Mus musculus: one gene and its partner. The protein of the gene in region 2 purifies or fractionates together with the protein of the main gene of each other region. This does not show direct contact. Links are inferred from orthologs where the notes say so. Each region holds a gene or a part of one and is shown on either strand. Other genes may lie near its edges. The genes, in order: Sin3a and Klf11.

The links.
Region 1: the proteins of Klf11 (region 2) and Sin3a purify together in Homo sapiens (affinity purification with western blotting, with the first as the bait; 3 studies listed by BioGRID). This does not show direct contact. The link is inferred for Mus musculus from reciprocal best matches to the Homo sapiens genes KLF11 and SIN3A.

The regions. Positions count from the first base shown.
Region 1 is NC_000075.6:57,105,952-57,117,211, reverse strand, and holds part of Sin3a (paired amphipathic helix protein Sin3a), read right to left. Parts: intron 9,859-11,260; coding exon 9,620-9,858; intron 8,505-9,619; coding exon 8,321-8,504; intron 6,634-8,320; coding exon 6,060-6,633; intron 3,667-6,059; coding exon 3,497-3,666; intron 1-3,496. UniProt on the Homo sapiens protein: Acts as a transcriptional repressor. Corepressor for REST. Interacts with MXI1 to repress MYC responsive genes and antagonize MYC oncogenic activities. Also interacts with MXD1-MAX heterodimers to repress transcription by tethering SIN3A to DNA.
Region 2 is NC_000078.6:24,646,946-24,658,305, reverse strand, and holds the start of Klf11 (Krueppel-like factor 11), read right to left. Parts: upstream 6,936-11,360; 5' UTR 6,782-6,935; coding exon 6,740-6,781; intron 4,748-6,739; coding exon 4,496-4,747; intron 3,464-4,495; coding exon 2,530-3,463; intron 1-2,529. UniProt on the Homo sapiens protein: Transcription factor. Activates the epsilon- and gamma-globin gene promoters and, to a much lower degree, the beta-globin gene and represses promoters containing SP1-like binding inhibiting cell growth.

The DNA of each region.
Region 1 (11,260 bases), on a different chromosome or scaffold from region 2:
TGTGTCCCCTCTCCATGTACTTTTAAACTGTTTACAATCTTGTTTCACATGTATTTCTTATCCAATCTACAATTACCCTGTGAACCATGTTGGAATGGAGGGATGTCCCATTGTGAGAAATTTTTTTGTGTTAAGACATTAAAACTTTTGAGACTTGGAGTTAAGACAGGTATCTCAAAGAATTCTGAAAACAAGATTCATCTGATTTTATTTTTAAATAAATATTTGTTATTTTTCTTTATGTGCTTTGTGTGTAAGCTTGTGGTGTGTCAGCTATATTATGCCTGGTGCCCATAGACAGAGGCTGGAAGAAAACACTGGTTTCCCTGGAACTGGAGTTACAGGAGGACATGGACGTCCACGTGGGTGCTGACAAGAACTACAAGTGCTTTTAGCTGCTGAGCTACTTGCTAGGCTCAATCTAGGATTCCTAAACTTAAAAGTTGCAGCAGACACCAGGTATGATGGCCCACACTTTAATCCCAGCATAGGCAGGCAATCACTGAGCTCAATACTGGTCTGGTCTACATAGTGAGTTCCAGGACACCCAGGCCTATGTATAGACCCTGTCTCAAAAACAAAAAAGCAACTGGTGCAGCGTCACCTGCCCCCATGAATTCAACTAAAGAGCAGACCAAGCCTCAAGGTCAAGCTCCTGCACCAAGGTAGCGTCCTCACTAGCAGGCCACTAATTAGTGCATTCACACAGAATAACCCTCAAATTGTACATGTTAACTCTATTTTTTTTCCAAGACTGAGTTATATGAAACCCAGGACTATGTAAAGTTATATCCTTGGCCTAACTGCTCATTTTTCATAGAAGGTAAACGTGTTGGAAACTGTGAACCTGTTTTGTTGTTGAGGGGAGGAGACAAGGCTTAGCAGAGACTCAGTGCCTTATATTAACTCTACAAAGGCTGCTGGGACCAGCTCAGGCCACAACAAATGCCACAGTGGGTAACATCCATTCCCACTCTACTATTCTTATTGTGAAATTAAAAGTCCCCTAAGAAATGGCGCAGAGGGTAAAACTGTCAACTTCAGTTTAGCCCTGAAATTCACGCAGTGGCAGGAGAGCCCACTCTCGTAAGTTATTCTCCGATTTCCACATACACATACAGCAAAACAAGAAAACCTTTAAAGTCAGGAAATGAGGCTTGCCTAGCAAGCACAAAGTCTTACATTCAGTGCCTAACACCAAACCAACTGGTCCCTAAAAAGCAGAGAAGCAAAAATGTAAATTTCAATACTGACTCATCAATTTTACTTAGTTAATCTCATGTTATCATGGTTACTACGCCATTCTATTTTTTAGGAAGATACAGTCTTTGTGAAGTATAAAAGACTTGGACAATACCATTGAAGTAAGGAATGTTATGACTTGATAAAGACAGTGAAAGCGTCACAGAGTTTTAAGTGGGGGAGAAGAGTGAGAAAAGTCAGTCTAGCCAAGACATGAGTTCTCTCCGTGTGACTATGTACCACTGACCCTCTATTCACATCCTCTTTTAGGTATCTGCCTCTCTCAGAATCTTTAGAAATGGAAGCATTACAAATCCAGAGACAACGATGGGGTATGTACAGCCATACATTAAGTATTTCATCAGGTAACCAGAAATGATGTAGGGATGATTTTTCCAAGATTTTTGTTGTTGCTGTTAAAGAGAAGCACCGCATGGGAAAGCTAGGTAATACCAAGCCCAGAGGTGCTCAAGTCTCGAGGGATGGAGAGGCCGGAAGTGTATGCTGATATGCTGAGTGTCCACGTGCAGAGAAGCACTAGAGTGGAGAAGCCTGGGACGAAGGGAAGCGTTCCTAGTCAAGGCTTCACAGGATGACATTGTATCATGGTTCTGTAGCTAAGATGACTGAGCCTGCCTACTTAGAATTCTTGGTTTGGAGAGATCTTATGTATGGGGAACTGCCCTTGAACTCCCTATGTAGCCGCGGATGGCCTTCACATTTTGTTCCTCTGGCTTCTTCCTCCAAACGCTGAGGTGAGTAGTGCCACACCCATTTTATGGGGTACAGAAAATCCAACCCAGGGCTTTGTCATGCTTGGCAATTAACTCTACCAATTGAGCTAAATAAAGCCCCAGCCTGAGAAAATTAAGACGAATATATGGCCTGACCTTGATATTTGTTCAACCAAAGGGACCACCAAATAAAAAGAAAACATAATCAGACAAAACTCACTGAAGAGTTCAAATGAAAAGCTTAAACATGTCTTAAAAACTCATGGTTGTGGGTTCTGGAGGCAACTCCCATTTCCAGTTCTTAAAAATATGTTGACAGCGTTAACATAAATTTATAACCAGATTCTTCTAAATAAATGAATTATCTATTTAAAAATAACATAGGGTTTATGAAACATTTATTTTACTGGCTTTTCCTACTCCTCAGTAGGGAGGCCAACAATGCCGCCACAGAAACCCCGAGACAAGGATGCTCCCTGTCAGAAGGATGACAGTTAGAAAGTATCACATTGGCTGGGCGTTGTAGTTCACACCTATAATCTCAGTACTCAGGAAGTACACAGGATTAGTTCTCAGTCAGACAGTACAACATAGTGAGATCCTGTTACAAACAACTCCACATATTTAAAATTTCCAGGAACAAAACATAAAAGCAACCACAAATCTAACACTGAGTCTCAGATAATGAGGTGGGCAGAGCACTGTACAGGACTTTTAATACTAAATGAGGCAAATAAACAGAATCACTGTCATCTATGGAAAAGGCTAAGCTACACCTATGCTTTCTTCTTGGATAAATAAAGAGGTAGGACTGTGTTCTAGACAAATGGCTGTTAGGACAGGCTCTGAGGAGGGGCACATTGAGAACCTAAGAACCAATTCCAGGGCTGGAAGAGTCCAGTTCTGTGAGCTGGAGAGAGACTTATTGAGCTATCCTCTCTGAGCAGTAACACCAGACTCATAAAGTAAACAAAATGTACAAGGTTCAGGAAATAAAGGAAATAGAAAATTCAGAAATCCCCTGAAATTTAAATTAGAAACCATCTCCACACCCATCCCCACCAAGGATGAACTTGAATTTCTGATCCTCTTCTAAAAGGAGAAACAATTTCTGGGGAAAGTACTCTCTCCCATAGGTCAAGCTGCCCTCTGGCTGTGCAGGAGCTTCAAAGACTCAGGTTTTGTGTACAGTGGGCTTTTCACTGCACTGCCTTTGGGTTGCTCATGTTCCTTAAGTGACCCCAACACACATAATGGCTCACTAAGACTTAACTAGAATCATTTCTTTGGTTTGCTGTCAGTGTATCAAAGGGATGTTTGTTATTGTCTCTGAAGGAGAAGCCACACAAGACTTCATGTTAACTTGGTCCTTTCCACTTCAAAGACATATGTTTATAAACACTGCTATATATATGGTTAAGCTGCTTTTCCTTTTCCCATAGAAATCTTGCTTTTCCTTTGTGACTTTTAGCTGAGAACACCTTCCCTTGGTAGCGCTAACCTCCAACACACCCTCTCACCTGTCTGACGATGCTCTGGATTAATTTGTCCATAGTAAAGGCAATGTAGGCATGAATGGTGAACATCTCTCTCAGTGAATCTTCATACTGTGATGAGTCTATGTTGCCATCAAGCAGGCTCCGCACCATGTCCAGGAAAGCTGGGTAATAATCTTCTACATCAACATCCACTACAGGAAAGATTAGACAGGTAAGACTGTACTCTGCTAAGACAAGCTCGAGGACAGAGAATACAGAATCCCACAGCTGGCCTATATACCATCTGAAAGGACAAAATACCAGATATGCAAAAACATGTCCAACTTAACCCACTACAGAGATGACATCTAGTAGGCAGCTATAATCACCAGAACTGTCCATCGAAGAACCAACAGTGACTCTGCAACTTCTAACAGTCGCTTCCAGCACAGACTGACTGCTAAAAAGACACTTTGAGCACTGCTGAGTTCTGTCACCTGAGAGCAAAATATCCCAAGAGAGTCCTTCAAGTTGCTGGCTCCTTCACTTACACAAAACCATTTCACAAAGGGGACAGTTGCTCATGAGTGTACCTCAATGAAGAATAAAGTATGGACAAGAGAAGACAGGCATAGGTAGATGCTACCACACTTGGAACTCTTGGCTACAGAAGTTATTCAAATTAACCCCTCTATGAAAATGAATAACTCTGATTGTATCACAGTCCCTTTGCTTAAAATAGATTTGCAACACTGAACTCCAGTAATTACATTAGATGAATTGTATTTGTTGCACATGAAACATTTAACCAGTAGCTGGAGTGAATCTTACTAGTAAAAGGACATAGTAACTAAGAAGGGCACCAGGAGCTCATGTATGTATGTATGTACATATGTATGTACGTATGTATGTATGTACATAATCCCAGGGGCAAGGGGATTGCTGGGCCAGCCTAGGCCACAAAACAAGTTCTGGGACAGTGAGCATTTTATAGCAGTAGACCCACTCTCAAATACAAAAAAAACTCATTTCTAAGTCTGAAAACCAAAATAGTAGAACAAAGAAGTTACTGGGGCTTGGCTTTATTTTCTTGACCTCTTTTTTTGACTAAAGTATGCTCATTATAGAAAAATTTAGAGCCATAAAATTCTATTTGTGGGGCAGGAGATACGGTTCAGTGGATAAGAGCCCCTGCCCCAGCACTCATGTGAAAGCCTGGCTGTCACCACCTGTCACCTTAGCACTGTGAAGGTCAGCAGAGAGGAGGATCTCTAGGGGGCTCAGTGAGACGCTGTCTCGAGAAGGAAGGTACATAACACAGTGGCCATAGCCTTTTCTAGCCTCCTTGCACATAAGGCACATGCACCCCACACAAATGCAGATTCTCATTTGTGTTCCTTTTTGCATACAGGTTGCACATCAATAAAAATTTGATCAAAAATGTTAACTACAAAAAGTACACTTACTGATTACTGGCCATCCATTAGTAAGGAGAAATTAGAAAGGGGACAAATGGGGTGGATCTTACAGGCAAAAACGAACAATCACTGCTTAAAACAAGTTACTGGTTTGAGTTGTGTCACACTACATCACTTTGTCTAAGCCCAGGAAGCAGGGAGCTAGCCTTTAAAATATACTAGGATAAGAGTCCAAACCACAGATTTATAGCCACAAACTATGACTGGCATGAAGTTGGCACTATCACTCAAGAATAAGCTGCTTCAGCATAAGTCCAGGATAAGACAGTGATCAAGCCCAGATTTATATTTGTAAATTCTACTTGTTTCTTCCAAGCTAGGACTAAAACAGATAAAGGCTTTTCAAACAGATTCCTGGTGCTATTAGTTCAACAGATAAGAAACTAGGTTTATACACAGGACTCCTACAGCAGTTATTTACTATTTCGTGAAGAGCAAAGAAGGGAAGCCTGTGAGGATGTGTCTGGCTCACAGGTTAAGCACCCAACTTCAGAATGAAAGCATTATGTGGAAGGAGGCGGCAGAACCCAGCATACAGCCAATGATAGCTAGCTTCTTAAATGAGCCTCTGGGCTTCCTTTCCCTTGAATCCTGTCTATCCCTTTGCCTTGTCTCAAACCATCTTGAGTGCCAATTCCTCTTCAGAAATATCAGGAATGAACCAAGAAGCCCATTAAGGAGATGCTAACACACATCTGAAAAGATTCCTTATGTGCCATAAGCATAACAAGGAATTTCTATGTTATGAATAGAAAGAACTGTGACGTTTCTTTCTCATCTGAACCACTGCTCACTAACCTAGCCAATGGATCCCACGTCCCTCATGTGTCCACAGTGCAAACTAAACACCTCACATGACCATGAACCGGATACTGTACAAGGTTCCATGCTTGCATCTTTCTTAAGCCCTCAAGCAACCACAGAAAGTGACAAATACTGCCTCCATTTTTTTTTTTTTGGGGGGGGGGTTTCATTCATGGGTTCAAGGAAGGTTACACAACCAGCTAAGTTGCAGAGGTAGGATACGAACCCTAGTTCCAATCTAAGGACTAAGTGTACTTCAAGGTAAGGTGGCCTTGAAGCCAGCCATCTACCCCATGCATAAAGCTGACAGTCTAAGCACTCACTAGGTTCCTTGAGACGTAGTTGTATGGCAGGACTATCACTCTTGTCTCGCTTTATGCCTAGCACCTCCCGTTCCCATTCTCTCTCTCGGTTTTCTTCTTCAATTTGCCGTTCAGCTTGGGAACAAATCCGTAGCAGCCTCAAGCAGAGAATTTGATGCAGTCGCATAAAGATATACCAATTGTTATTGACATAGAAAAGGTTATATACTTCATCCATCCCTCTTAACTTTTGAGCTGCTGTGTTACTAAATAGCAACTTGGACTTAGGGGGGCTGCCCCCAACACCATTGTGCTTCTTAGGTGCTCCTGTTGCTTCATCCACATCCATTTCTTCCTCCTCCTCTTCTTCCACATCTGAGAGATCGCCTCTCTGAGCAAACAGCAGGTCAGGAATGAAATGGTGCATGATTTGCTTGATTTTGTATTTGTCCTCTTTCTGAATGCCTGTTTGCCTCTTCACATGGTGGATAATCAGAGCAGCAGCATCTTCTAGTATCTGTTTGTCTTCATAGGCAAGAGAGAGGTGCGGGCCAACAGGTACACCAGCGTTCTCTTCTGTAGCCTGCTCTTGCCTCTGATGGAACAGACATAAAAGCATTGTGTGACATGTATACAGCAACAACAAACCTACAATACTATACCAGAAATGCTGAGCAGTGGTGGGAAATGCCTTTAAACTTAGTACCCAGGAGGCAGAGGCCAGCAGATCCATGAGTTCAAGGCCAACCTGGTCTACAGAGCAAGTTCCATGACAGGAAGGGATACATAGAAATACCCTGTCTCAAAACAAACAAAGAGTACATTAGCAGCACATTTTTATTATTAACCAAAATGCACTTTAGGCACTGTGGCACCTATCTGTAGTTACATCCTTTGGGAGAATAAGCCAGGAAGGGTACAAGATTCTAGGCCAGTTTGGGCTTAGACAGAGACATGACAGTGGCTACTTAATCTGAAATACAAGAGTTAACCTTAATAATGTTTGTCTCTCTTCCAAATATTCATAAGTACTATGGACAAATTGGCTTGATATAAAAAGATTAGTGCCTTCTATATATTGAAGACTTAAGAGAATTACCTTTAAAATTCCAGATTTAGCACTTAAAATACTGGGGTAGAATTTCTCATGTAAGCTAGAGAAAGTACCCAAGGAGCTAAAGGGATCTGCAACCCTATAGGCGGAACAACATTATGAACTAACCAGTACCCCGGAGCTCTTGACTATAGCTGCATATGTATCAAAAGATGGCCTAGTCGGCCATCACTGGAAAGAGAGGCCCATTGGACTTGCAAACTTTATATGCCCCAGTACAGGGGAACGCCAGGGCCAAAAAGTGGGAGTGGGAGGGAGGGTATGGGGGACTTTTGGGATAGCATTGGAAATGTAAATGAGGAAAATACCTAATAAAAAGTATTAAAAAAAAAAAAAGAATTTCTCATGTAAAGGTTAACAAATTATCAAAGATAAACAATTAAGTGTTTGTTAAAGTTCACTTACTATTTTTATTCTTTAAAACTCAGGGCCAGCTTTTGAAAGCCTGATAGATGTCACTTATGCTTCCTACCTCCTAAGGCAGGTCACAAAAAGCAAGACCAATTTCACATTTATCTCTGAGTCTTTGCTCCAAGTGCCATCCATACCCCTGCTAAGTGAGCAGAATAACAGGGTTACTACCACTTTTTAAGTGAGGTAGAGGAGATGCCAGGTCTTGTTAGAAGAGTGTACATTGGGCTCCCAATGGAGGAGCTAGAGAAAGTAGCCAAGGAGCTAAAGGGATCTGCAACCCTATAGGTGGATCAACATTATGAACTAACCAGTACCCCGGAGCTCTTGACTCTAGCTGCATATATATCAAAAGATGGCCTAGTCAGCCATCACTGGAAAGAGAGGCCCATTGGACTTGCAAACTTTATATGCCCCAGTACAGGGGAACACCAGGGCCAAAAAGGGGGAGTGGGTGGGCAGGGGAGTGGGGGTGGGTGGATATGGGGGACTTTTGGTATAGCATTGGAAATGTAAATGAGCTAAATACCTAATAAAAAATGGAAAAAAAAAAAAAAAAAAAAAAAGAAGAGTGTACATTAAAGGCAGAATGGTAAACTGGGAAACCAGAGGAAGAACTGAGTGAATCGGTGAGTAGTAGGTTTAAGACGGTAGACCATGATACAAGAACTGGCAGTTCTTAGTTAACTGTAGAAGTCAAAGCAAGGCTGAACACAAAAAAGCAGAGCTGAGGGAGCTGTACGGTCAGCCAGCTCACCTCGTCATAGATGCTCTCGATCTCATTGAGTAAGCTCTTAGACCTCAAGACCTTAGTGTCGTTCTGCTTGAAGTTGATGCCTTGGTGATCCAGAGACTTCAAGTAGTACTTCTCATTTTGCTCTCGCCAGACCTTGTTGAAGCCTCTCTGAGCTTCTCGCCACTCTTCTTCTTTCATCTTCAACCTAGCAGGTGAGAAGGGATACAAGTACAGCATGTGGGAATCGAGAGGGTTAAATGCGGGAGTGTGTCGCGGGCTTACTACACTTGATGAAAACTCAGACCTATGCTGTTGGTGCTTCAAAAAATGTCCTTGGTGTTATCCAAGTGAGGTTTTTTTCTTAAGGGAGCTTATTTTTGTGATACAAGTCTTACTGGAAAATGTATATAGACCACACTAATCTAAAAATCTATGGCAATCTGCCTTCTACTTCCCCAATCCTGACATTATAGGCAAAGAAGTCAAATTTGGCTGCCATGAATATTCACAAAGTGAGTGGTATCACCAATGGGGTTTTTAAGAGGGAGCATGAAACCATTTTTGAGACAAGACCTTATTTGAAAATTTGGATGACTTAAAATTCATGATGTAGACCAAGCTACTATCAAACTTACAGCAATCTTCCTGAGTCTGCCTCCCTAATGTGAGGACTATAGGCATGAACCACATCTGGTTTTGGGGAGTATTCTCAAAAAACTAGTTCTCCCAACTAACTAAAGCAACTTGCTTCTTTGTTATGACTCAGAATCTTTACTGTGCTCATGGAAACGCAAGTTTCCTAGAGAGGGCATGTGGTGAGGGAGGAAGATTGCAGGTTTGAACTCATTCTGAGCCATCACATACACACACCATACACACCCCGACACATACACACATCACAGTCCCTCAAACGCCTGCGGTCTGGGGTAGGGTAAAGTATTTCCCTATCAAGCATAGTATACAAACAGTCCTAAGTTCCCTTCTACCAACAGAAACAAAGCCCAACCCTGAAATGTGAACGCACTACACTCTACCATACACTCATCAGGCTTTCTCTGTGTGAACTCAGGACTCATGCATGATAGGCAAGCACTCGACCACCGAGCTGCACCTCAAGTCTTTCACCCTCACCTGTCAACATCTGTTCCATTTGTTCCACAAAACCCCTAACGTATGTTCTGCCATTCTACTCTATCCCTAGTGTTGAGCTACTGAGGAAAGAACTGAAATTCCAATTAGATACTCAGGTAGAAAACTAGAGCCCTATTTAATGGGACACTGAACCTGTCACACAGCACACAAAAGCCAGAAGATACATACCTTTTAAGGACAATCGGAACAGCAATGGAGGGGTTCTTCCTCAGGCCATCGATGATATCAGCTGCTTTGTCAGCATATATCCTCTGGAGTGCTTTTCGATGGATGACTTCGGACGTGCCTCCAAGGGTGTTATCCAAGCGAAATTTGGCTTGTTCCTCAGCAGACAAGCGAGAAAGTTTTTTCTGTATTGCTTCTAAAACCCGGATTGTTGCAAGATTGGTCTCAAGAACCACATCAAGCTTAAAACAAAAGAACAAAGAGGGTCTCAGGCCTAGCACCAGAACACAGCAGAGCTGGGAGAATAAGGAGGGTGTCAAACTCCTCCCAATTTGAGTTGTGATTTCCATACAAGGTATGTAAGGATCTCTTACCAGTAAAATATGAACAAGGACACCTACAACTATCATAAGGTTATTTTCTGGCAAAAAAAATGCCATGTACATAATTCATAAAGTTTAATACTGATACATAAACTGACTAGCAGTTACCAATGCTAACTGCAACCCATTGCACACTGTTTAGCACTGCTGACCAGAGGCCAGTGGGAGCAGAGAGAGCTATCACAGCACTGCCTTTCCTTGCACCTTAGTTCGTTCTGAGACAAGGGCTTGCTATGTAGACCACACTACCCTTCAATTTGTGGCAAGTTGTTCCCTCTGCCACCTAAAGGCTGGGACTACAAAATGTGTTCATATCTTGCTTATGAACTTTTCTGAAATTGTATAAACCTGTTACAAATAGTAAGGAAACAATCCTAAAAGACAGTTATGAGAGTAAAAGGGTTTGGGGTACTGTATTACTGCTTCACATCCAATGCAGCCATCCAACTGTTTATGCAAATAAGGATGGCCATGAATTCTTAGATCCTTCTGCCTTCTCTCTCAAGGGATTATAGGTACTCTAAACTGCCCTTAGCTAAAAATATGTTCTCCAGCTTGATTGAAAACTTCCCATAGAAGCCAGGTGAAGTGGTGGTGCACATCTTTAATGCCAGCATTTAGGAGGCAGAGGCAGGTGGATCTCTGAGTCCAGGGTTAGTCTGGTCAACGAAGTTCCAGGAAGCCAAAGCTACACAGAGAAACTACACTTTCATAAATCTATCTGTAGTTTTCTATAATTAACTCTACGTATGTGGTGGTTTGGATAAGAAAAGCCCCAGGCACCATGTTTGAATACTTAGTCCCTAGCTGGTGAGACTGTCTGGGAAGGATAAGGAGGTGTGGTTTTGTTGGAGGAGATGCATCACTAGGGTGGTTTTCAAAGACTAGTGATTCTCAATGCCTCACTCTGCCTCCTGATTATGGATCAAAATGTGAACTATCAGCTGTTCCTTCCTTCCACCATCATGGACTCTCACCCTCTGAAACGGTAAGCCAAGTTAAACTCTTGTATAACTTGTCTTAGTCATGGTGTCTTATCAGTGATAAACACGTAACTAGGATGGGGGAAGATGGTAACTGCCAGCCGGTGGGGAACAATATATGATGTTTTCAAGAAGGAATGCTGGCAGTGTTAATCTGGTAAGAGACCTCTCCCATCGATCTGAAGGAACAGAACTAGTCAACTCAGTGTGATCACTATACTAAGTCAGATACATGCAGACTACAATTCTTTCCCTTCTGGTGTGGTCTTAGTAACCAT
Region 2 (11,360 bases):
CAGCTCCAGAGCCTGGAGCCTGGTGGAGTATTCTTTACCAGAAGCAGGCGCAGACAGCTGCCCTTCCTACCCCTGCTCCCGAGGTCAGTAGCATACACAATGCCCGGGAGGTGCACAGAGAATGCCAGCCCCTTGGCACACGATTTACAAAATTCCTTGTATTCAGCCAAAATGGTGTACCCATTCACCTGACTTTCTTCATGTAAATAATCGTTCTGGTTAAAAGAAATACTTGAAACACAATCTGAAGTAAGCCCACCTGAAGCTTCCGTGCCTTGGAAGACTCCACGGAGAGCTGGTGAATGGAAAAGCAGCGGTCTCGTCAGAGCCTCCCGCTTGTTTAATCTGAACTGAACTTCTCTGAGAAGGAACTGGCTTTATCTCGGGTTTTGTGGGTCTGACAGTCCTCCTACCTAGGGAAACTGAGTGAACATGGAAACCCTGTCACCTCTCCCAACCTACAATCTGCGCTGATGTAAAGTTCATCTAGACAGACCAAGCAAAAAATGGGGGTTCACCCTGCCAAAGAACCCATGTGAACATAGCAGGTTGCTTCTTCATTACACACAGCTACCAGAACAACCTTGACAAAGGTGGATGACCACCATTTACAAGGTGTGACACCAGGAATTCTCTATCTAGTTTAGACGATAAAACAAGGGGTGGGGGTGGGCATCACGATTTAGCATGCTTGCTGCTCTTACATCACACATACAGCAGACCCCAGGACTTACAGTGGCAACTCACAATCACATGTAACTCCAGCTCCAGGGGTCAAATCTACAGGCCGCTGCGCTCACATGCACATACTCACACACAGAAACATAATGGGTGTGGCAGCACACCTCTTTAATCTCAGTACTCAGGAGGCAGAGGTAGGTGCATTTCAAGGCTAGCCTGGTGTATATAGAGCAAGTTCCAGGATGGCCAGGACTACAGAGAAAAAAAAAAAAACCACTGTCTTAAAAAACCAAAACCAAAATAGGAGTAGTAGTAGTGATAATGATAATAATAATTTAAAAATCCTAAAATTGTAAAAACAAAGCAGAAGTGAAGAAACAAAGGAAGTGGTGGTGAGACACAATAACTCCCTAGGGTCAAAGAGGATGGATATCAACATACACTCAACCTTTGTGGGGCAGGCCCTGAAAGGATCAATAGGCAGAGATGGGAGAGGGCTGAGGCTGATGTGTGGAAACAGACAGATGAGAACAAAAGAGCCTGTGTTTGCTCTGACAAGGAGACAAGTCCAGGACAGCTGTAAGGTCCGAATCCTAAAGCCGACCTCGGCTTCAGCATATGAAGGGACAATTCTTTCTGGAATGTCTGCTTCTGGAGTCTGCCACAGCCGGAGTACACTGTGCTAATTAGAAGCCAGCCTGCATCAACCTATTTTGAAATAAAAACCTGCAGCAGGAACTCTCTCCAGGCCTTTCCTGTGCTCGATCCAGACATCCTAATGGGGTGATGTTTCAGGGTTGAGTGTAGGAAGCTCTACTGCAGACGTCTGTACACATGCTCACATGTAAATACGTGATTCTCTAAAGTCAGCTTTAACAAGAAGACTAGACTATGTAACCACTAAAAAATGCCAAACACATCAACTCACAGAGCACCTAAGAAACACTTGCTCTACTCTACCAAGTGATTCCTGCCAGGTGGCGCCCAGTGTCCCTGCTGGACAGCATGGCTGGCAGTCACCAGCTCACAGAGCTGTAAAACATCAACTAATGAGAATGTGCAATGCAGTTCTCAAACCACCCCTTTTCAAGTGCATATGGCTAGTGGCTATCCTAATGGCCAGAGAATGTTAAAAAAAATAAACTCAGAAGTTTATAACTGTGTGACTTAACCTAAAACTCTACAGTTTCAACCGTACAGTTAAAACACTCTATAGTATGAACTTTGAGGGTCTGAACACACCTCCAGTCACACCGATGTTTTTACTAACGCCTACTGTAGTAGGGTGAAGAGTATCCTAAAGCCATCTCAAGTCCCCATTCTCTCCTCCCTCCGGCAGGTACCTGCCTCTCTTAAAGGGGTCTCAGGGAGCTTTCCTCCCTTGAGCTGTGTTCCCATCACACCAGGCACCCCACTGTAGAAAGAATATTTTATGTCTGTATGGATGTGGTACCTGTCAATAATCCGATGGCCTATGGCTTAGGTAGGAAATAGGAGGTAGGACTTCTGGGAAGAATTCTGGGATAGAGCCAGGCGGGAGATTCACCTGGGAAGATCTACTATATTCTCTGGCCATTAGGGAAGCCACTAGCCACATGCACTTGAAATGAGCTGGTTTCACTGAGAACTGATATATACATCCTCAGTAGTTGAGGTAGACATGGTACCCGAGCCATGTGGCAGAATGTAGGTTAAAATAATTGGGTTATCTAAGTTATGATCTAGTCAGAGTAGAGCTCAGCTATATGGCCAAGGTATTTGTAAACATAATTTGAGTCTGAGTCCTATTTCTGGGAGCAAGGGGCTGAGAGAAAGAACCGGACTTAACTTCTACACCCTACCACTTACCTGTGTGAGTGCGAAGATGAGCTTTAAGGTGGGAACTTTTGAAGTAGGTCTTCCGGCATCCTGGGAAGTTGCAAACATAGTTCCTCCTTCGGGAAAAGTCTACCTGAGGGGCACAGTTCTGGCTGGAGGCAAGGAACACTGGTGCAGGGGCAAGGGGCAACAGCTTGGTATTTCCAATGGCCATGACACTGGATGGACAGGCAGCAGGCTGGGGGAAGGTGTTCTGTGGCAAGACCAGCATCACAGTTCCCTGAGGCACAGGTGGGCCCATGAACACAGGCTGAGACATTGAAGCAGCTTGGGGTAGGATGGGCTTGATAGTCCCTGCAGGCAACTGGGTAGGAGGTTTCAAAAAGGCTGAGAACAAGCCATTCTGTCCAGCCACAGGGATCATCTGGCAAAGGACAGGGGGACTGGATACAGGGACAGAAATCAGAGGGGTGATTTTCCTTGACAAGTCACTTTCAGGATTCTTTGGTAAGCAGGTCTGAACAGCAGCGGGCCATCCTGTCTGTTGACCTTTGTCAGTGGGGAACGAACCACCGGACTTGTGCAAGCAAGGCTGACAGGAAACCAAGTTAGTGACGAGTAAGCCATTTGCCAAGCGTGTGTCCTGCAAGGCTTCGAGGTGGTCCAGCAAACGCTCCTGTCCTTCTCCGCTGTCGGATGCTCGTTGCTCTTGAGTGGGGCCAGTTGGGAAGCGCGTAGGAGCAGGACTCTCCCCGGTGTGACGGATCACACTGGTCATCACAGCCCTGCAGGAGGACCCTGAGGCTGGCTCCAGTGGTTCCCTCTTGCTCAGTGTTCTGGGGCCCCCAGCAGGGGATGGGGGGAGGGCAGTGACCATGCATCCTTTGGAGTTAACTACTTGGGAAGGAACAGGGGTCCCTGTTGACGGCTCCGTGAGCTCTGGGCTCTGAGGAGGAGTTATACACTTTTTAAAAGAAAAAGGGAAAGAAAGAACAGCACCACATCAAAGGTTGTTTTGGTCAAAAGAGCAGCGAAGATATTATCTGACCGCACTGCTCCCGCTGCCTGCGAGGGGACTGCACAGACTGACCCAAGGGATCTCTGGGGACCCTGCTGTTCCTGCTTCTCCCAATACGGACTGTCCCTACTCAACCATGCATATGTCTTGTTGAAAGGAAGGGTGGTGTCAACCCTAGGTCATGCGCGTAACTACTGAAATAAGCAATTTAACTACAAGGACTGCAGAAAGAAAACGGATTCTTACTTTAAAATAAAAGCGCTCATGACGTTTCAGTCCTTAAATCAAGAAAGCACTGGTTCTCCTGAGCCACACCTCTCTGTGCTGGCTCCCAGCAGTTTCTTGGCCACCTCATAAAAGCCCAAGCCTGAAAACCCGAGGGCTACTATGAGCCAGCCTGGACTTCCTCCAGTGCTCACCGCCACCAACTCCTCCAGCAAGTCCCTAGCCTGGGCAGTCAGCCCTCAGCTGCACTACTGCTAGCATTCGATCTGACTTCTCCAACCCGGAAGCACTTTCACTGGTGCTGTAAGTTAAAACCTAAAAATAAAATACTGGTTTACCAACTTCAAGTTACACTAGTTGGCTGTCACAGGAAGGCAGAGGTGGCGTGTCTCCACTAAGCTAAAGACTGTCTGATGTCAGAGCACATGTGTTCTCGTTTCCCACAAATCCTCATCCTAGTCTGGGACCACTCAAGACCACACCTTAAGACTCCTAGAAAACAAGCACAATACACCTTTCTGCAACCACCTACAGGCTTTGTCCCTGAGCACCTGTCAGCAAGTTATGACCTACCACTGAACAGAAAGCACATTTAAGAGAGGAATTTTCACACTTTGGCATCCACATAAAAGGAGTACAGGCAACCTCTTGGCCAGCATCATTTGTTAATCTCCGTCCAAGTTCTCCAGCGCATTTTACCTATGCTATTCTAGGCAGTTCACAAAAATGCTTCTCTCCCCCACCTCCTCTTACCAGAGTTGAAAAAGAATGGAAGTCCTTTGGTAGATCAGGTGCAGCTGTGTCCATAAGCACAGCAGTGGTGACGTCACCAGAGTCAGAGACAGGCGTGAGGGGTCTCATCTGGGACCTCTGACCCCAAGAGCTCATGCAGACAAGAGCTTCCACAGCTTCGATGTCCGTCTGCTCCAGGACGCTGCATGTGGACCTTTCGCTGTCATGCCGCTTCCTCTCCAGGATCGACTCACAAATGTCCATGATGTCAGCCTAAAGGCAGCACAACACAGTGGCTCCTTAGTTCAGGAGAATAAAGGGACGATAACCCTGACAGGTATGTGGGTCTACCATAGACATGTGCAGCACCCTTAACAAAGCAATGGTCTCTGTCTTGGAATAAAAAGACCCAAACGGGACTCTCAACACAACTTTGTTTTCAAGCTCTGAAGACTGGGCTTGGTTGAGAAACAGTTTCCACAAAAAACAAAACAAAAACAAAAACAAAAAAACCAACAAAAACAAAATAAAACAAACAAACAAAAACCCGCCCCCGATTCTTAAAAAGGTTCCAAGGCGGGGCTATTGCTCAATAGTTTAATGCCTGACTACCTCACGTGTGCACCTGAATTCAATCCCCACAGCTATAAAATAAACAAAACAGGTTACTAACTTCTTCTCTTGGCTAAATGATGAAGATTAACTCTAGAGGTAAACACCAGAATGGCTAGCAGGAAGGTGTTGTAGGAAAGGGAAACAGGCAAAGCAGCAGATGAAACCAAGCAGCCAGTTAGCTGGTGGGTGAGATCATCTAGCGCAGGACCAGAGTGGTGTCCCTAAGAAAGGAAACACTACCCCAAGCTTAATTTCCCAGTGGCTGGACCTAGGTTCCATGCTAGCACAGTCCTCCGTGACTGCCTGCTTCCTCAGCAGACTCAGAAACATTAAATCACTTGTTATGAGAACTAGGGAGGAGGTCAGGTGAGAGGAACAGCATGAGAAAGCTCAACCATAGTCCAGGAAAGGTGTCTCCTCCTGTATACCATGTCACCTTTACATGCAGGAGTGGGGAGGAAGGGACTGGAACCTAGCCTGTCCAAAAGAGAAACTTAAGCCTACAGACACATATTTCCATACATATTTTCTGAGCTTCAAAACTTCCTGTCTGTCCAGATTCCCCTTCACTGAACAGGCAAAGATATGACCATAGGGGCCAGACAACCTCCTGGAAGGGTATTTTGATTATGAGCCTTCAAGTGGAATCAATGTCCAGCCCCATACTAGGAAAGAATGCGAACGTAGGTTCCCTTGAGTCCATGTAATACTGTGTTCTCACCAGGAACCTGCTCCGCACCACTTCTCTGGCCCCCTACATTTCTATCAGGTTCTGTTGCTCCACACCCTACACCTTCTGACAGAGGTCCCTGCCATGACTTCACTCAGTCCCTGGGCCCAAGCCTGCAAAGTCCCATTTTACCACACCCCTTCTCACTTAGACTCCACCCTTCGCCCAGCTCTACCCTTACCAGCCCATTAAGCTTGGCTGACACACCTCTTCGAACCACACTCTTGCACACTCGCCTATCAAGACACACTATTGCCTTGCTCCTCATTCCGTCGTAACCCCATCCAGGCACTCTGGCCACACCCTCCTGAGATACCTTTACTTTGGCTCCACCCACAGCCCCTCCCACTGCACTCCTACCAGATGCTCTCACCACACTCCCTCCCTTCGGCTTAGCCTTTGCCCCGCCCCTAGATAAACTCTCACTATGCACTCTTACATCGGCCCCGCCCCACAGTCCTACCAGAGGTTCTCACCAAGCTCTCTAGCTTCGGTTCCGCCCTCTTACACTACTACCAGGTGCTTTCACCATGTCCTTCGCCTTGGTCCCATCTAGTTCCCCCAATATCTCCTCCAAGCACGCTTGCCCACGCCCTAGCTTTGGCCACGCCCCCATGCTGCGCCCCAGCTTTGACTCCGCCCCCAAGTTCCCGCCAGCCGCGCCCACATCCAACAGCGGTCCTCCTCTGGATTCGGGTGACGTCATGGCTGGAAATAGCCGCGCCGGGCGGGGCCGCAGCGGACCAGAGACAAAGCTGAAGGCAGGCTGCCGCGCTAACACACCCCCCTCCCCACCCTGACCCGGCCGAGCCTCCGGGTCCCTGTCCGGACCAGAGCAAATCCGCAGCCCCCACCGCAGCGAGAAGTCGCCATCCCTCCCGCGTCCCCCGTCTCGTCCCGCGCTCAGCCCCGTCACTTACCGCGCGCCCGTCGCCGGGGCCGGTGGAGCCCGGCGAGTGCATGGTGCCGTATGGCCTGCAGGCAGCAATGCTGCGAGGCAGGAGCCCTGCGTGCGGCGGAGGCTGCACGTGTGCGGCGGGCGGCGGTGTCCCGAGCGTCTGTTCCCGGCGCGCACCTCCGCCTTCCTTGCCGCGCGGCTCTGCCTCCGCGCGGCCCGGGAGGCGCGGGAGGGGCGGGGCGCCACGGAGGGAGCGGCCCTGGGCGGGGCGCGCGGGCAAACCAAAATACACCGCTCCCTGCTGGGGGCATGGCCTCTGCCGCCAGCCAATCAGCGCCAGGCCGGCAAGAAGCGGGCCAATGGGCGCCGCGGGGGGGCGCGTGATCGGAGCCTGGCTGCGGCGTGATCCGGCGGGGCGGGCGGCGGCACGTGTTTTGGTCCGGGCTAGAGGCGGGGCGTGAGGCCTGGAAAGTAGGGGAAAGGTCCCGGCGGCGGCGCGGCGGCAGTCGACCGCAGTAAGGTCCTCTTCTGCCGCAGGGGCTGCTCGCAGAGGTCGCGCGCTGGCCCCACGCCGTGGACGGATCTGGTAGGCGGGACCCACAGGGACGGCCTCACCCTGTCTCTAATTTCTTTTAAGCTGTCGTTGGCTCTTAGGACCGCATCTCTGCCCAGGAAGAGGCTTGAAAGCTGCTTGGGTTTAGGGACGACATCCGCTTTTTCCTGCATGGCGCCAGATCAAATGCTCTTCCTACTCTAATCTGCCTTCTGCTACAAAAGAACTACAGCCGTGTAGTCAGCCACTCGACATGTACCTAATGAAGCCTGCGCATCCTCCCCAGTGGCCATACAAAGGACACCCACTTGGGGTGTCCTCAGGCCTACGTGAGACCTGACCCAAATCCTGAGTATCCGTTTTTTCCCCTTGGGCCTTTAGGTGCGGTTATTCATGTACACTCATCACAAGTCTTGGAGAGCAGAGGTCAATGCATGCAGTATGTCGTGCCCACCTCCAACCTACAGTGCAGCAATAGGGCACCCCTCTACTAACCCCCTGATGCCTCACTGCAGAGCCTTGAAACTAGTGGAGGTCTGGGAGAATCATTGCTGATATGAGCAGACAGGAGCTGGACATTATGCTGCCTATTTTTATCAGACAGGTGAGCAGGCAGAGAGGCAGGCAGGCAGAGAGCCCTGTCCTTAAGCTGGTAAGGCCTAAGGGTTATAGTTGCAACCCTGATTCCTCAGTTTCACACTGGCTTGACAATGGAATTAAGTGAACCAAAGAAAGGGAGTTTGTTGAAAGTAACAGTAGGAGTGTTTAAAGGTGAATTCACATGTCTAACTACTGGGGCATTTAACACACATGGAGTTAGTCTTCTACTTGGGCCTGTTTAAATTGTTTTTGCTTCATTCCCACACTGAATTTCTGACTCCCCGTGTTCACCCTTACCTATAATGCCTCCGCCCCATCCAACGTCCCTACTGTCTCCTGTTCTCTCCACACGTGGTTTTATGGCGTATGTGTTGGAGAATAATCTCCAGAGTAATATGTTAATAGTATTTGGAGAGGGAGCCTTTGGAGGGTGATTGGGATTAAGGAAGGGTTATGGGGTCTTAAAATTAGAGAGACCAGCTAGTTTGCTCACTCTACCTGACCACGTGACACTCTTGTGTCATAATCCAGCAGGAAGACCCCCTTCACACATACACACACACATATACACACACACATACACACACACACACACACACACACACACACACACACATGTCAGAGGGTGAGCAGAATTAGCCTTCCTGGATTGCAGAGCTCTGAGCAGAATGGACTTTTTACATAGGAAGTGGAGGTGTGTGGCTCAGTTGGTAAAGAGCTTGCGTCAAGAAGACCCGAGGTCCACCCCTAGAACCGACATAAAAAGCTAGGCATGGTGGTACACACCTGTAATCCCAGCACTGGGGAAGTCCAGACAGGCAGAAAACACTGGGCTTCACTGTTCAGTCAGCCTGGCCAAGTCAAGGTCCCTACACCCAATCCCAATGAGACACTCTGTCTTAAACAAATCCGACAGAACCAGGGTGGGTGGCTCCTAAGAAATTACACCAGAACTGGGCGGTGGTGGCTCATACCTTTAATCCCAGCACTTGGGAGGCAGAGGCAGGCGAATTTCTGAGTTTGAGGCCAGCCTGGTGGGTGTACAGAGTGAGTTCCAGGATAGCCAGGACTACACAGAGAAACCATGTCTTGACACCCCCCCCCCAAAAAATGAGACTGGAGGTTAACATCCAGGCTCCACATGGACACACACACACACACACACACACACACACACACATCCAGGCTCCACATGGACACACACACACGCGCGCGCGCGCGCGCGCGCGCACGCTATATATAAACTTCCTGGTCTCGGAAGTGTTGTTATAACAGAAAAATAAGACAAGCAGCCAGGGCTCCTCTGGGTCACCTGTCCCATCAACTGCTGTCTCCAGAGTTCAGCATTTGCTGTGACATTACTGGCACGTCTTCCTTGGACAGCCTCTCCCAGCATACTTGTGGACTCAGACTGACCTCATGCCCTCACTGCTGTCTCTGCCTCACCTCCTCATACACTCTGCAAGCTCTGCAGTGTTTCTGTGTCTTTGCGTACTGCCTGTCTCTTCTTGGATGGGGAGCATGGCTGATCTATCCACATCATCTCACAGTAACTGTTGACTGAATGCATCACACCAGCCCTATCAACCCTGCTGGCTTCTGTCTGGAGCACCTCTCAGGTACCTCTCGCTCTCATCCAGCATTCTTGGGAGTGAACTTGTGTTTACCCTAATTTGATGTCCTCGCTCCAGCAGGGTGCCCTGGCCATTCTGCCTCTTGATCTAGTAACATGGTTCACCTTCAGCTCCTCCCTTTCCTGTGTTTGTTCTTTCACCAATGACATCACCGTTTCTTCTAAAATACTGCTCCAACTGTTCCCATCACTCACTCCTCCCCTTGCTCAGGCTGCTATACAGACAGACCTGAATGATTGTCACCTTTTCCCAGCAAAACTTCCTACCTCCAGGCTGTCATCTGCCTCTCATTGCTGGAAGGATTTTCCAAAAGTGGACAATATACAGTCCCATACTCAAAACCTCTGGACATTCAAACTTACCCAGGATTCTTCTGGCCCTGACTCCAGTGCACAGGAACCCCCATCTTTCTCCACTGCTTCCCAATTGCTCGCTCTGAGTCTGCAGTATGACCCCTGGCAACTGCTCAGTACAAAGCCATGTGCTTGGGCTTTGGACCCAAGTCACCTCTTTGGCAGTGTGAGCTTACCCAAGTTCTGTTGTCTGCCTGCTTCATTCTTACAGGGTAGAAGGCAATGGCTCTCCTGAGACCTGGAAATTCTCTCACTCTGCACTGTGTTTCCTGGACATCAGGGATGCTTGGGAGCATGGTTCTTAAGCCACAAGACTCCAAGTCTACCCATATCCAGTCCATCTTCCAAACAGCCAAGCCGGCTTCTGTTGCTGCCAAGCTCCTGACCTTATTCATATTCAAGAGGATATTGATCTTTTTATAAGCTAAATGACTTCATAAGACCCCCATGATCCAATGCTCAGAGACAGTGTAGTCCAGCAGGTAGGACTGGACATAGCTATAGAGAAGAGCTTTAGAGAGAGCAGTGTGCCTTAGGCCAGAAAGCCCAACCCCTGTATGTGCTTGCAGTCTATATGTGTGCACGTTGTCCTGCAGGGAGGATTGCATTCTATGAACCTTCTGAGCCTGCAGACCTCACATTATGTCTTGGAGGTTATTGCACATTGGTCCATAAAAATCAACCCTGTTCCTGGTAATGGTTAAATAACAGGCCATTATGGATGTGTTATGAATTGTTTAACACTTATGGTTGAATAGTCAGGACATCTAGATCGTTTGCCACTTCCCAGTATATCCTGCTGGTCCACTGTTTGCCCACATGTAAAGAGAGCTACAGGATCAGTTATCAGCATAATTGCTAGTATTAACAGCTTTGAGGGCTCTGCCTTCCCTCTTTGCTTTCTCTCCCCTCTCAACTGTCCGTCTCTGTGGATTTTACTGGAGCATAGCATGGTTACAGGAAAGCACAAATGATAGGCACAGCTCAGTGAGTCTTCACTGTACCACCAACAGCCAGAAAAAGAAACACTATTCCTAGAAGCCAGAAGCCCCTGAGTTTCCTCAGATCACCATTTCATCCTCCCTCACCCAGCATAATTCTTATTATGGCCTCTACGGGCATTGATTACTTGTTTGCGTGTGTGTGTTTGAAACCTTTACAAAGAATTTACAGCATGTGAAATCTGGCTTCCTTTGCTTGATATGCTGTTACATAGAGTTGGGTTTTGTATGTGTATGTATGTGTAGTTGTTTGTAGTTGTTTGTGGATGTGCATGCATCAGTGTGCATGCATTGGAGACTGGATGTCAAGCTGGAGTGTTGTACCTCAGGAGCCATCTGCCTTGTCTTTTGAGACAAGTTCTCTCACTGGGACCTGGGGCTGGACAATTAGACTAGATTGGCTGGCCACAAGTCCCTAGGAACTGCCTTTTCCTTAGTGCTGGGACTACAAGTGTGTGCCAGTTTTTTATTGGGCAGCAAAACTGTTTTGACTGAGCTATCT